Oreochromis niloticus: one gene and its partner. The protein of the gene in region 1 interacts with the protein of each later gene in a biochemical or structural test. Links are inferred from orthologs where the notes say so. Each region holds a gene or a part of one and is shown in the gene's direction. Other genes may lie near its edges.

Region 1 (6,961 bases):
TTGTTTCAGCCCATCCATAATCAGCAGCAGGGGACAATTATGACGCTAACGCTGGCACTATGTTTAACTCTGCTGCCATCTAGTGGATAATATCTGAAAATGCATACAGCACACAGGTCAGAAGTTTAAACATTCATCATGGGCATGAATGTCATGGTAATTTTTATTTCTTTAAAAAGTTCTTTTTCCAGAGTGAAATAAATGTAGAGGATCTTTGATGACCTTAAAAAAATCTAGGTCAAAGGTTTTAATCAGTCATACTAAAGGTTCTGCAATGTAGTTCAACTTGACAAGACCAAGGCCTATTATCTTCTCATTAGTGATCATGATTGACCACAACTGGTCAACACAACTCTTTGCAGCATAAAAAGTGTTTGTTTGACAGCATTCGTTGGAGTGACCAATACTCCAATGAGCAATTGGGAATTCCAAGGAACTCACTGAAGATCTAAGAATAAGAATTGTGGATTTACATAAGTTCAGAAGGTCTCTTGGAGCCGTTTTTAAACAACTGCAGATCATCAGTTCAAGCAGTTGTACACAGGTACAAGTTTTTCACATGTGTCACCACTTTGCTGAGGTCTGGAAAAAAGTGTCACCCTCAGATAAGAGGACATTGGTTGAGATGTTTAGAAACAATACAGGAACCACCAAAGGTCAAACCTGCCATGAACTGGAAACTGCTGGAACACCAGTATCACTGACCACAGTGAAGTGAGTCTTAAATCAGAGGTTGTTGACAAAGTAAGAAGCCCCTGTTCCAAACAAACGCCTTCAAGCTTGGCTGAAATTTGCAGTTCCCCACATGGACAAGCCAAACTCCTTCTTGAGAAAAGCTTAATGGTCAGATGAGACAAATATTGAGCTGTTTGGCCTCAATGACAAGAGGTATGTTTGGAGGAGTGAAGGTGAGGCTTTCAAGTCTGAGAACATTGTATCAGCTGTCAAGTGTGGTGGTGGCAGCATCGTGCTCCGGAGCTGTTTTGCTTTGTACAACATACTGGTACATTGTACAAAACTTGGTTAAAACTTGAACACAACTGGTTCAGACAGGACAATGATCCCAATGCACATCAAAACTGGTTTTGGAATAGATAAAGCAGGCTAACAGCAAACTTCTGGAATGACCTTTCCAAAGCCCCAACCTCAACCCTATGGAAAATTTGTAGACTGTGCTTAAAAGGCTCTGTGCCATCAAATCCACTCATTTAATGGAACCCCACCGATTCTGCAAAGAAGAGAATTCAAGTTTGCAGCAGAATTATCCCAGAGGCTTCTTGTTGGCTACCAAAAGTGTCTAGTCGAAGTGCAGCTTGTTTAGGGACATTTAACTATATATTAGTGGGGTTTTATGTATATGTCTGACCCTCTATGTATCCTTTGACCCTGTGTGGATTAAAGAAAATTACAAATAATTTAAAGTTTTACACCCAATTCTTTTCTTAGTCATTAAAGATGCTGTACAACCCTTTCAAATACTGTTCAAAGAAATCTTGAAAAAAACAAAATTACCACAACAATCTTGACCGTGATGAGTGTATTAATACCTCTGACTGCAACTGTACATGTTTTAGAGACTACATCATCTGAAGAGTGTTTCTTTGATGCACAAGAAATGTTGTGTGAGGAACTATTAATAAGAATTTTATTAATGATTACTATCTTTTCTGTTGTATATAATGTGCTTTATAGAGGCATGCACAGTTACCATCAGTTGTCCCATCTTTCCTTCACCAGAGTTCATATAATTATTCACACATAAGTCATCGGTCATGTCAGTGCATTACTCAGAATTCTTTCATACAGATGTCACGCAGTAATTATCCATGGATGTGACTTGCAGCTCGTCAGTTCAGATATCGTCAGTGTGTGCAGAGTTTACACCCGGGAGAAAAAATGTGAAAAAGCCAGTATGGCTTGCGAAGCTTTTTGTCTCCCATCTCCTGTTGTCCCATCGGCCTCTGTGTTTCTTTTACTGCATAGCTGGGAATAAGACATCATGTGTCCTACTCCACCCAGCAGAGTGAACATGAAATTCCAGTCTGACAACATTGAGCAACACTGAGATGTGAGCAGATCCTAAAAATATACATAAGAAAGGGAAACTGAAGGGTCAGTCTGCTGTCATAGAGAATATCTTGGTGGTGGTCGACTGATGAGAAATTGAACATCCAACAGATCAAGAAACGGCATCGGCGGCTTAAACCGGGACTTATAGTGCTCAGCACAACTCAGCGTAAACAAAACATACAACTGAGAACCTTCACAGACAAAACATACAACATTAGAATGCTTTGCATGTCTGACTGGTTCAGATTTTTATTGTGTCTTGATTGTCTGAACTGATCTGTTGCTGAAGATTTTGTCTGAAACTGTGAAATGATAAAAGATTGAAGACATCATGGTGACTGAGACAAACAAAAATCAGGTTTTTCCTCATACCTGTCTGCCAACCACAGGGAGTTAAGTCAGGAGAGGCATGTGACACAACACCCTATAACTCAGGAGTGGGCAACATTAGAAACTGGGACTGGTGTGGAAGGTGACAACCTTGCTATCACTGATTAATCTATAAGGGAGTAAGTATTAGGGACAGACCACTTAATTACTTAATTATAAAGAGAAATAAGAACACTGGAGTGAGTGAGAGTGACGAGAACAGGAGGAAACACATTAGTTTGTTGATCTGCTGTAGTTTAATACACCTGAGACTCAAAGTGAAGAGCAGTGATTTCACGCATACAGAACATTCTGTAGTCATGAAGTGGAAATGAATTGTAACCTGCGTTTAATCAGATCTTAAAAGACTAAACTATTGTTATTTTAAATGAACTGTGTGTGTTACGTTAGTACTGGGTTGGACCCCTTTTGCTTTCAGAGCTGTCTTAATTCTTCATGGCACAGATTCAACATGGTGCTGGAAACATTCCTCAGAGATTTTGATCCATGTTGACATGACAGCATCACACAGCTGCAGCGGATTTCTTTCATCCTAAAGGTGCTCTGTTGGACTCAAACTTCTAATTCCTCATTTTAATGTTACAGGAACAATCTAGACTCATCTGACCAGGCAACATTTTTCCAATTTTAGTGAGCACGTGCGAATTGTAGTTTCCTGTTCTTAGCTGATGGGAGACGCACCCAGTGCGGTCTTCTGCTGCTGTAGCTCATCTGCTTCGAGGTTTGACATGTTGTGCATTCAGAGATGCTCTTCTGCCGACTGCGGTTATTTGAGATACTTTTCCTTCCCAAGAGCTCAAAGCAGTTTGGCCTTTCATATCAACAAGACATTTTCACGCAGAAAACTTCTGTTCATTAGATATTTTCTCAGTGTAAGCCCTAGAGATGGCAGTGTGGAAAAATCACAGTAGATCAGTGGTTTCTGAAATACTCAAATACTCAGATAAACCTGTGTGGCACCAACAATCACGCCACATTTAAGGTCACTTAAATCTTTTTCCTTCCCCATTCTGATGCTCAGTGTGTGTCTACATGCCTGAATGCACCGAGTTGTTGTCATGTGATTGTCTGATTAAATATTTGACTTACACTGGTGTACCTTAGAAAGTGGGTGGTTCACACCTACCCTGCTTATACAAGCCCAACAGTTTTGTTTTATTTAATTTGATTTGTGGAATAATTTATTCCGCAAATATGAATGTGCATCTACAAAAACACATCTTAATCTGACTGTAATTTCCTGTTTTATGTCCTCCCAGCTGGATTGCTTAAAAAAATCAGACGCATTCTCGGGATTAAAAGATAATTTAGAAATAATCCTCATGGGCTTGGATGTCATTGAAATGGCGTCACCGTGCCGAGGCTGAGAGCGAGAGGCAGGCTCTCAAAAACAGCAAGAGCCAAAAACGCATACTTGGCAATCTTAAGGGAAGAGTCGACGTGAAACCTGCGCCGTAATCATTACAGCTGGAATAAAGAAAAGAAAAGAAAACGACCTGCATGTGGGAGGATGACTTTAGCGGCGGAGGACGCGCAGATGATTTCCTCCACCTTAGGGGGAGGATCTGTCCACGTAACGCGAGGCAAACTCACCGCATTTGCTCGCATTAGCGTTTCCTCCTTCAGCCGTGATGCATCACAGTAATGAAGCGGCAGCCTGGAGATGACCGTGGCACCCCCGCTCACAGCTCGCAGTCTACATAGAAGAGGAGACCGCTGCTGCACTTCGCTTTCATTTGGACGTTTTTGGTGATTTTTTTTGCGTAAAGAGGGGGAGTGACTGTTTCTTAATAAAGCCATCATCGTAAAAATTAAAGAAGTGAAAACTAGAGGATGAGCAGCTTAAGTCATGTACCCACACGGGTGAAATCCAAGCGGACTGAGGTCAGGCTCGGCGCGGAGAGGGATCATTTTGACAAGCAGCAGGTAAATATGCAGGAAGACACCGGGAAACGACGGGTTAATGCCCGCTGTGGGATGGACGGTAAACCTGGGTTTTATTCAGGCCTGCTGTGGCTTTAGAGGATGAGTGAATATCTACCGGATAGGCCACAATCCCTGTCCCCAAATTAAATGTTTAATGAGTGAATTAACTGCCCAGAAGCCGTCGCAGCTTTACCAATGGCCACTGAAAGGCCCCATGAGGGATGCCCCCTCTAGGTGTGTGTGTGTCGGACTATATGGCCAACACTGGAACATTGAGAGCTGAAAATAAGGACAAACTCTTTGGCATTGCGCTGTAGGTTTGACTATTTAAACACAATGATGAAAAACTGAAAGTGCCATTGCGCACTGAAGTCGGTCCATTGGTATCCCGGTATCATGCTCATCTAGTCCTTCCGGTTTGGCCACTTTTCCCCCAGTACAGGCATCTCCCTCCCCGTTTTTTTTTCTTTTTTCTAAACCACCTCCACTTTTCGTTTGGTTGTTGGTTGTTTTTTTTTTTTTGAAAACATGAAAAATAGACCCTTTTGACAAACTATCCTTCAACAACACCTCAGTTTCTTTTGAATGTGTGCAGTGAAGGAATGAAGGCTGGCCTCATTGCTCACACAACAGGTGCTTTGTGGTTTCTGCGCCTTACTCCACTGCACTGTTCCATACATGGCGAAGAGCTAACCCGGGCACTGGTGTATTCAGCGTGTTACTGGCTAAAGCCCTGGAGACACTGGGGCTACATTTTCAGGTGGAGAACACAGATACACAAGAGCCGAAGCGAGTTGAGTAACTAAACAAACAGCTGTCCGGCGGGTCAGGCTTACAGCCCTATTTTATCTGAACTGAGTGGAGCGTTTCCTCCGCTGGGCGTGTGTTTTACTCAGTGTTTTATTTGCTTTTGACGCACGTGTAGCGAGGTGGAGCTCAGGTTCTCAGACTACTGTGGCTCTGTCCTCTGGGCTGCTTAATTATAGTAAAATAAATAAATATAGCCTTACTGCCGTGCGTGTTTAGCGTCATTGATCAGAACAGCAAATGGCAAAAAGCAGGTGTGGCTTTGCTTTCAAAACTAGGCATTGTTGTCAGACTTGTAGTTTATGTTCCTTTGTGTCAAACGATGCATTGCACGTAAAATATGGGTTTCAGGGAGCTGCTCAAATTCTCAGCATAATCAGGTCTAGTCAAGGGATTTGGCACAGTGGGGATCATAAACTCTTAACGCAAAGACTTCAATGCGGGGTCCTCAGAAAGAAAAGCTGCTGGATGGTTTCAGTGTGTGCAGGTAGGAGGAGTCATTTCCAGGTTACTTAATATGACTAGAGGAGTGCCACAGGGTTCGCGTCGAGGGCCACTGTTATTTATTTTATGTATAAACAGTCTTTAGTAGGATCATACAGTTCAGGGCTCTGAAACTGAGTTAGTATCTCAATACAAGCACTTAAGAATTATAATTGACACTGTCTCTCTTTTACATCTCACATTCAGCAACTAGTGAGAAACTTTATTTCACCATTAAGTCCATTCTGTTCTTTTTATTGCCTTAACCTTTATGTCTTTGCTGGATTATAGTGATGGTGATATTTACATGCACATCTTCACAATGCTTACATATGCTGGTGCACGGAGATTTATTACAACCCTTAAAGCTTGTCTCATATCAGAAATGAGGTATAAGCCAATGACTTTTATTGATGACTGACTTTATTGCCGCTGATGTTTATAAATTCTTTATTTTATTGTTTTTGGGGTTTTTTTCACCAGCTGTGTTTTAGTGTAGTTAGTTTGTGTACTTCTTCCTCAGTGTGTACGCTGTTGATTGTACTGCTGTTTGTCTTGGCTTGGCCACTCTTGTGAGAGATTTTTTTTTTTTTTTATAATCTCCAGAGTTTTATTTTCCTGGTAAAATAAAGGTTAAACAAATAAATAAAATTAAAGCAGCGGTTGAGCAAATTTCCGGCTGCATTGTCAAACGTGCCCAGGCAAAATGCAAATGAACTCCTGGCAGAATGAGGAATCTGGACTCTTGTCTCAAATAGTGTGCTAATTGCATACAATTTATACAGCCTGTGTTGCTTTAAATGTTGCATAGTGTTGCTTAAATGTGTTCTTTTAATTTAATCCTGTTATGTTAAAGAGACTGCTGCATGTAGCAGGGAGAGCTGAGAGACTGAAGCTACTCTGGTGCTGCTTTTTATTTTTTTTAAACTTCCACTCTCTCTCTGTCCTCCTGTCTCGGCTTTTCATGTCGACCTCGGTACCAAGGTGAACAGTCTTGCACAGCGCCCTGTGTGTTTGTGTGCGCAATGTACTGTTTGCTTTCCCTCACTCCTGTTGCCTGAGTAAGCGCCCATGAGAGAGAGAGGGAGAGGGTAAAGGGGGGATGGGAGTAGGAAAGGGCAAATTCAGCTACTGAGTGGGAGTAGAGAGAATGAAAAGGTTTTTGGTTAGCTGTTTACACTTTAATAACATGCAGTGACCTGTGAATTAGAGTTTGAGTTTTTTAGGTCCTTAGTAGTTCCAGCCTTGTTTGTCTGTCCTGAAAATCTATTACAAGAAGTGACTT
Region 2 (7,960 bases), on another chromosome or scaffold:
CCTTGTCCTCAAAGGTCAGCTGGTAGCCCAAACCTGGGAGAAAGCTAAAGAGTCAGTAAGCTGGAGCAAGCAGATTCCCTCTCTGTTGGCAAACCCTACCCCCTCGATCCTGACTGTGACACAGGCAAGCCGTAGCCTCTGCTCACTCCTCAGAGGCTATATAAGGAATGTAAAACTACACCAAACTATTTCAGCCCAACACCCACATGAGTCACAGGGAGAGGAGGAGGAGGAGGAGGAGGGGGGGGGGGGGGGGGGGGGCAGAGGAGGGGGGGGGGGGGGGGGGGGGCAGAGGAGGATGGAGAGAGGTAACGTCAACGACCCATGGATTCTGGCACGGGCCAGGAGATTTTTTTTCTCCTCCTCTAAGTTCATTGCACTTGGGAAACGGCGGACGGCCACAAATGAAGCAAAGCACACAGACCTCTACATTCTTTCTGGAGGGCATGAAACATAGTGCAAGCAAGAAAAAAAAAAAAAAAAAGCCCTCAGCAATTATACTTTAACATCAAGCTCTTAAAGCAACAGAGCAGCTCACACACACTGTAAAGACTGGTGAGACAGTGGTGTGCTCACAGATAAGGAAAATCTAGCAGCACAGCCTTTAATCCAGCCTAGCACCCCAAATAATCCCACTAAGAAAACCTGCAAATCTGCTCAAGTTAATGGAAATCCTCAAAATAAAAAAAGACTTCCATTCGCATTCATTTACTGTCAATGCACCCTGTAGATCTGTACAAACCTGACTCTTTACTGGCAAAGCTTAAATTAGTTTTTCTCAGAGCCAGGGAAATGAATTATGATACAGAGGCGCATAAGGCGACACACAGAAAGACCTGCAGCAGGAGCAGCAGGTAATGGAGGCTAGATTTCACTGGTGATAAACACCACACTGAAAGCTGATTATTCAGACTGTATTAAAGCGGAGGAAGTAACAGCATTAATGTGAATGCACTCCAGTTAATTAAACACCACCCTGTATGATAAGCAAGAGAATAAAAGCATCAGTTTTAAGCCAATAAATGTGTGGCACTCATCCCCATGCTTATGGTGTTGCTATTTATAATCTTCTATATTATTGCCGCTGCTGCATTAGTTCTATAGGAACTCGTGTTGCTTTTAATGAGAGCTCAAATACACGAAATTTTTTGGTTAATACGCTACGCAATTACGAGCTTACACGGGTTTCTTTTAAATAACTTAAATGCGTCCAGCACACTAATTTCCCAGCGGTAATTAAAGGCCACGCTGTGAACGCTGTACCCCGGTTAACACCGCCGCAGACAGCCAGGTTTCCACTCGCGACAACACGGGACACGAAAACCGGACAAAACTCTCGGCTCTGACAAAGTAGTTAGCACAGCTACAGAGCAGCAGGGGCTCGGGGAAGATGGCCAGAAGCATGAGCCTGCACAGTTTGGAGCACCAGCTTAATCCATACAAACCTCCTCTGTGGGGGGGAAAAGTTGGTTTGAAGAAGTTACACCACACAAACACACAAAGATGCATTAGCTTACCTCTTGTGTCTCTCTGTGCTCGCCGGACATCACGAGTGTACCGGATTAAAAATAATTAAAAAATAAGATAATAAGTCGGTTGGCAAGCAGGCAACTTTTCAGACTTCCTTGAGGCAAACGTTAGGAAGCCGCCGTGGATCCCCCTGGTGAGCAGCAAACTCATTCCCTCAAATTCTTTTTAGCAGGACTCTGCTGAGACGTCAGAAGTCACATGGGCGGAGGCTTCATTTCACTCAGAGGCCGAGTTGCACTCATCAGCTGCTACTACTAAAGCCATTCATCACAGCCGCCATGAAACCGCTTTTCTCAATCACTCCGTCGGTTTTAACTAAAGGAAAATAAATAAATAAATGAATAAGAGTAGGCCTCAGAGATAAACATGAACTAATCCAGGACACCACCCCTGAAGAATAACTTTTTACACACGCTGTTTGCTGCACTTACTAGCTAAGCCATTATTATTTAATTGTAATAGGGTAACTTAATTTGACATGACCTATTCTAAATGGAGAGAGAAACAGTTTTACTAGTAAGTAAAACTAGTACCGTCTACAATAAACAACACAGTTAACACAGGTGGCTGCATGGTAAGAGCCTTACACTAAGAAATAGCGCAAGAGTCTGTAAAAAAAAAAAAAAAAAAAAGTGAAGTTAGTTTTAAAAAAACAGTCAAACTTAGACTGACAGTGTGTGTTGTCGTGCACATTTAATTAAGAAAGTCCGCAGACACGGTCAGCCGCAATCAACACTCTTTATTATCATGCGCATGTCATCAAGCGCAGTCCCTGAAACAGAAGTGGAGCTCTCGCTCTTTTGTATCTTTGTACATTCCAAAGAAAGGGGAGGAAGTCACAAACTGATCATAGCACATATCACGCCGCTCGCTGTGAAACCTAGTGGAACTTCCACTACAATGGGTATGCTGTTTCGTGCCCTTGGCGCTATCAGCACCTGCAAATGCAGTTGTTTTCTTCAACTACTGAGGCTGAAATAAGTTCATCTGGTTTTAGACTGTTCAGTGGAAGTTTTACATTACAGTGTCACAACTAAGCATACGCATAAGTGCCTATATACCTTAAATGAGAATAATAGAAATTTTCCATTACAGTGTGATTGCGTGAAAAAATAATATGCACACTATGCTGCATGAAGATATAATACAAAAATATGTCTGGGATCTTATGTGTGACAGGTGTGTTCACCTGTGTGTTCACCTGTCACAGCATGAGTACTGAGTACTTCATTTCGTTCTGTCACGTGTCTTTATGATGAGTGACATTAAAGAACCTTGGACCTGTTTTAAGCGGACTTTCTAACACAATAACTACACATTAATCATCCACAGGCGTTAAGTTAGGCAAAAAGACAAAACAAAACGTAATTCTTTCTGTTCACAAACAAAAACAGGTGTTAAAAAAACTTCAACTACAACTACAACTTCCGTCTCATCCTATCCCCAGCATCCTCCTCTGCCACACCAACCCTCTGCATGTTCTCCTTCACTACATCCATGAATCTCCTCTGTGGTCTTTTCCTCCTGCCTGGCAGGTCTATCTTCAATATCCTTCATCCACTATATCCGCTATCACTCCTCTGCATGTATCCAAACCATCTCAGCCTCGTCTGTTTAACTTTGTCCCCAAACTGTTTGTCCTGTGCTGTTTTTTTCCAATTATGGATTTTTAAATTGTACAAAACAACTCCACTATCCACTTCGACCATTACTTAAAGGTCATATGGGGTCATTTGGGGCCTTTTAGTAATGATTATAGATGCAAAGAAATTGTTTTATTAATCTATAATACCCAGTTAGGTCATAGGCTGTTAATAAGATCAATAAGTATCAAACAGGAGAAATATATACAGTCAAGAGGGGTATATACAAAAATAAGAGAAAGGCACACATTAGAGAACAAGTTGCAAAGTGCTTGGAAGCAGTGCAAAGAAAATACTTGGTCTGAATAGACCGTGTGTGAGTCACCTGAGTGATGAGGATTACTCAAACCATGGTGAGGTGAGTGGGCAGGGGTGGGGTGTGGGGGAATAGTGTTTGTTAACAGTCCGAATGGCCTGGGGGAAGAAGCTGTTTGTGAGTCTGGAGATGTAGGACCTGATTGACCTGAGGCCTTGACGTGGCCTCCAGGGTTGGCAGAGGAGAGTTTCCCCGATGCTGTCAGTGATGTGTAATGCACTTAGTAATGTGTAGCTCTTATGATTCTTTTTATTTTCCTTACAAGGTCACAGGTTCATTTCACATGGATTCACTAACGCTTCACTGTACTGCTTTTTGCTTTTCTGTTAGAGGCTAAACTGCCTTTCAGCACACTTGTGATAAAGTTTAAACTAATCAAAAAGATCCTTGTCACACATAGAAACAGAAGAGATTAAATGCATTACAACTGTGTGACGTTTCTGCTTTCTTGCGTCCTAATAAGACTCGGCATCCAAGGGAGTGGAGGAAGAATGGAGAGTGAAAGCCAAGAAGGAGCTTGAGGACTGGCACGTACACCAAAATGAGCAGATGGAGAAGAACAAGACCAACAACAGGTTAGGATCTGACCTCCCCACCCCACCACTAATGTGCAGAGAAGTAATCCATGATAGTGGATAGTGTTTGTTAACAGTCCGAATGGCCTGGGGGAAGAAGCTGTGAGTCTGGAGATGTAGGACCTGATTGACCTGAGGCCTTGACGTGGCCTCCAGGGTTGGCAGAGGAGAGCCAATGATTTTTTGGGTGGTGTTAATTACCCTCTGCACAGCCTACATTGGTGTTGTGGGTCCAGGTGAGATCGGTGGAGATGTGGGTTTCCAGAAACCTGAAGGTGGAGACAGATTCCACCCGTTCTCCATGTATGATGAGAGGAGAGTGGACCTGTCTGTGTCTCCTGAAGTCCATGATGAGCTCTTTTGTTTTAAGGACCTTCAGCTTCAGGTTATTTTCTGAGCACCAGTGGGACAAGTTTCTCTACCTCTGCCCTATATGCCTCCGTCAGAGATGAACCCAGTATGTCATCGGCATACTTGACGATGACATAGTCGGCAAAGTCGGACTGATTGAGGGCAGTTAGTGAGGAAATCTTTGATCCAGGAGCAAGTGACAGGAAGGATCTGAAGGGAGTCCAGTTAAGTGGTGAGGATGTCTGGTTCGTCTCCCTTTTAATGACCCACTCATGTAGATTTTGCTGAGGATAGTTATTTTCCTGCGGGGGGGGGGGGGGGGGGGGGGGGGGGACTGAATGCATAACCTTTATGCTTTTCCATTTCTGTCTATAAATAGTGCTATATAAGTTTTGTCGATATTTTTTATTACTGTTACCGCATTAGTACTACAACCCTTGGAGATGACAGTGCTGTGCTGCAAATGGCCAGCAGATGGCGACAAACTCCAACAAAATGTAAAGGTCCCCTCGGGGTGCTGCCCCTGCTCTATCATCATACACATACTGGTTGAACAAGTGAAGAAATAATGAATCATCAGTTAAGGCCTTTAATCGACGCGTAGATTGTTTATTCCGTATGCTTTACTAGCTGACTCTATTTTTCCAAGCAATATTTAGAATAGATAACACTCAAATCGAATTTTTAAGTTGTTACTATTAACGTTGCAGAGCTCGGTGCCCTGATTTTTGTGGCTTTAACGTTTAGCTAGCTAAGCAAGCTCAATCAAACTTGTACACTTTTTGTGAAAGATGGCTGACAACGGAGCGCACCCGACTGAAGAGGACCCGGCCGCCGCTTTCCTGGCTCAACAGGAGAATGAGATAGCGGGGATAGAAAACGATGGCGACGCATTTGGGACCCTAGAAGGAGCCGGTGTTCAGCAGCCGCAGACCGACAACTATGGCAAGTTTGTCCCTGAGCTAACGTCAGCTAATGTTTAGCTAACGAGCAAACAAAGCTAACTAGAGCTAGCTAATATTAATACCGGGACTTGCATCGGTAACTTGCTTAGTAGTTAACCAACAAAGGCCCCACCGCCATATGTTAACAACACCACTGTGTGATATAAGTGGTTAACACTCTCACTGCTTCCTATTTAGATTCAAACTAACAGTACGTTAGCCTTGTAGCTTAGCTAGCTGCGGGCAACGACAACGTAGGTTTTGTTAATTGGACGCTATCCCACATAACATTAGCTATGTGACACTAGCACCTTAAAACTAAGCTAAAGAGCAAGTGCTCCTGGCCTTTTAACCGACAAAGCAGCCCAGACAATATCAAGCAGGTGACCAAACAGGTGTTGCTGCATTTCTGAAGTCTTATCCGTTTCGAGACCAAAAGTGACACCACTTTAGTAGTAGCAGCGAGCATAAGTCACTCCAGATAGCAAGGAAGTGTAAGTGGATAAACTCCAAGAAGTTCATCTTAACTTATATCTGTGGGTTTTTCTTTGTTTAAAAAAATGCTAGACGGCTTTGAAGAACCTGCCACGTTGAATGGAGACCTGTTTCAGGTGAGCTTCAGTCTTGTCTGTAATACTTTATGATGTCTGTCTCTTTACATAACCTATGTGTGGTTGAGTTTTATTCTGAACACCGTAATCATGTGATGAAGGAGTGGGTTTGCTGTGGCGTTCACGCATGAATGAACCGAATGGCTGTTTCTAATGGTGTAAATGTTTTGCGTACTCCAACAGGAGTCCAATGGCCCAACAGACAGCTACGCAGCCATCGCCCAGGTGGATATCCAAAGGCAAGAACCTGAAAGTTTACGCAAATGGAGGGAGGAGCAGAAGGCACGCCTTGAAGCATTAGGTTGGTAACAATGTTTCCCTGATGCTGTCAGTGATAATATGTAATGCACTTAGTAATGTGTAGCTCTTATGATTCTTTTTATTTTCCTTACAAGGTCACAGGTTCATTTCACACGGATTCACTAACGCTTCACTGTACTGCTTTTTGCTTTTCTGTTAGAGGCTAAACTGCCTTTCAGCACACTTGTGATTAAGTTTAAACTAATCAGAAAAGATCCTTGTCACACATAGAAACAGAAGAGATTAAATGCATTACAACTGTGTGACGTTTCTGCTTTCTTGCGTCCTAATAAGACTCGGCATCCAAGGCAGCGGAGGAAGAATGGAGAGTGAAAGCCAAGAAGGAGCTTGAGGACTGGCACGTACACCAAAATGAGCAGATGGAGAAGAACAAGACCAACAACAGGTTAGGATCTGACCTCCCCACCCCACCACTAATGTGCAGAGAAGTAATCCATGATGGTGATGCTGTAATCACTCTACTACCTTTGTTTTGAATTTTGTATTGGTAGTTAGAGGTAGTTGTTCTTGGTAAAACAAACATTGTGGTTCAGTTTGCAAACATGCCTCGCTCTAAACTAAACGTTCAGTGGAGGTCTTTATAGATTCTTCTGAAGTGTAGGAAACTGTGCCTTTCTCTACAAGATTACATCCTAGACCTGTGTATGTTTTACAGCTGACTGATAAATTGACACGGTTGGTGGTATATGTGTTGAATTTACTGCACCAAGGTGATCACAACAGATTAAACCACTATAATATTTAATACTTGATTTAGCCTGGTTCCCCTCAGTGTCATAAACTGTGCAGTCTCTCTTTTCTTGACCAAGCTAACCAGTTATTCTCTCACACTTCCCAACAGACTCTGTCCAAGTCTGGCACGGTATCGCTCTGCATCTGTAGCTGTAGCTCTTTTTTTCTTCTTCTATTTTTTCTAAAGCACTGAGATACAATACTCTGATGAGATGTTAGTCTACAGCTGTGTGTCCAGTTCAAGTGTCCGGAAAGCAAAACAGGAAACTAGCTAGCTGAAAAGAATGCAGACAGCAGAAAGAAAATGCTAGAGTCACCCCCTCCCCATGCTACAGCAAAGACTGTCCTAGATTGTTTATGACACTAGTGCAAGATGTTTAGTCACTGTTTCCACCTCATTAGAAATGTTTCTCAGTTGCTTACAATAACCCAGACTCTAACACTTTTATGCTTGTTGACTGACACTGAAATTGTTCTCCTCTCCTTCTTTTTTCCTGCTTTCTTGGCCTTGCCCTGCACGCTAGGATTGCTGACAAGGCTTTCTACAAACAGCCCAACTCTGATGTTATAGGCTTTGTGTACGTTTAGAATTCTTCTGCTTTCTAATATTGTATGATCTGCCCCCTGAATGACCTCTTTTGCCCCCGATGCATGACCCAACACTGGAATTCTGTTTTTTTTCTTTTTTGTCAAAGGCTTCATTTGGCATTATTTGTGTTCTTTTTGACTGATGTGTGCCATTGCCCTAGATGTTTTTATATAAAAAAAAATATTAAATATGTCAACAATGAAGTGTATGTTGGGTATAAAGTATAGACTGTATGAGAGATGGATGTAGCTACCGTGAAGTCCAGTTACGAAGCTCTACCATGATTTGATATTGAGAAATTGTTAGCCAATGAGCTGCTTTCATCTGACCCTTAGAATAACCATGTTT

The links. The genes of interacting proteins can lie anywhere in the genome.
Region 2: the proteins of hip1rb (region 1) and cltb form a complex in vitro, tested with the Homo sapiens proteins (2 studies listed by BioGRID). The link is inferred for Oreochromis niloticus from reciprocal best matches to the Homo sapiens genes HIP1R and CLTB.

Annotation. Positions count from the first base shown.
Region 1 is NC_031977.2:19,253,770-19,260,730, reverse strand, and holds the start of hip1rb (huntingtin interacting protein 1 related b), read left to right. Parts: upstream 1-3,858; 5' UTR 3,859-4,293; coding exon 4,294-4,386; intron 4,387-6,961. UniProt on the Homo sapiens protein: Component of clathrin-coated pits and vesicles, that may link the endocytic machinery to the actin cytoskeleton. Binds 3-phosphoinositides (via ENTH domain).
Region 2 is NC_031966.2:28,751,712-28,759,671, forward strand, and holds the start of cltb (clathrin light chain B), read left to right. Parts: upstream 1-4,927; 5' UTR 4,928-5,206; coding exon 5,207-5,360; intron 5,361-5,926; coding exon 5,927-5,970; intron 5,971-6,153; coding exon 6,154-6,271; intron 6,272-6,564; coding exon 6,565-6,676; intron 6,677-7,132; coding exon of another isoform or gene 7,133-7,153; intron 7,154-7,547; coding exon 7,548-7,601; intron 7,602-7,960. Other genes in the region: pdlim7 (PDZ and LIM domain protein 7), read right to left, coding at 1,518-1,547. UniProt on the Homo sapiens protein: Clathrin is the major protein of the polyhedral coat of coated pits and vesicles.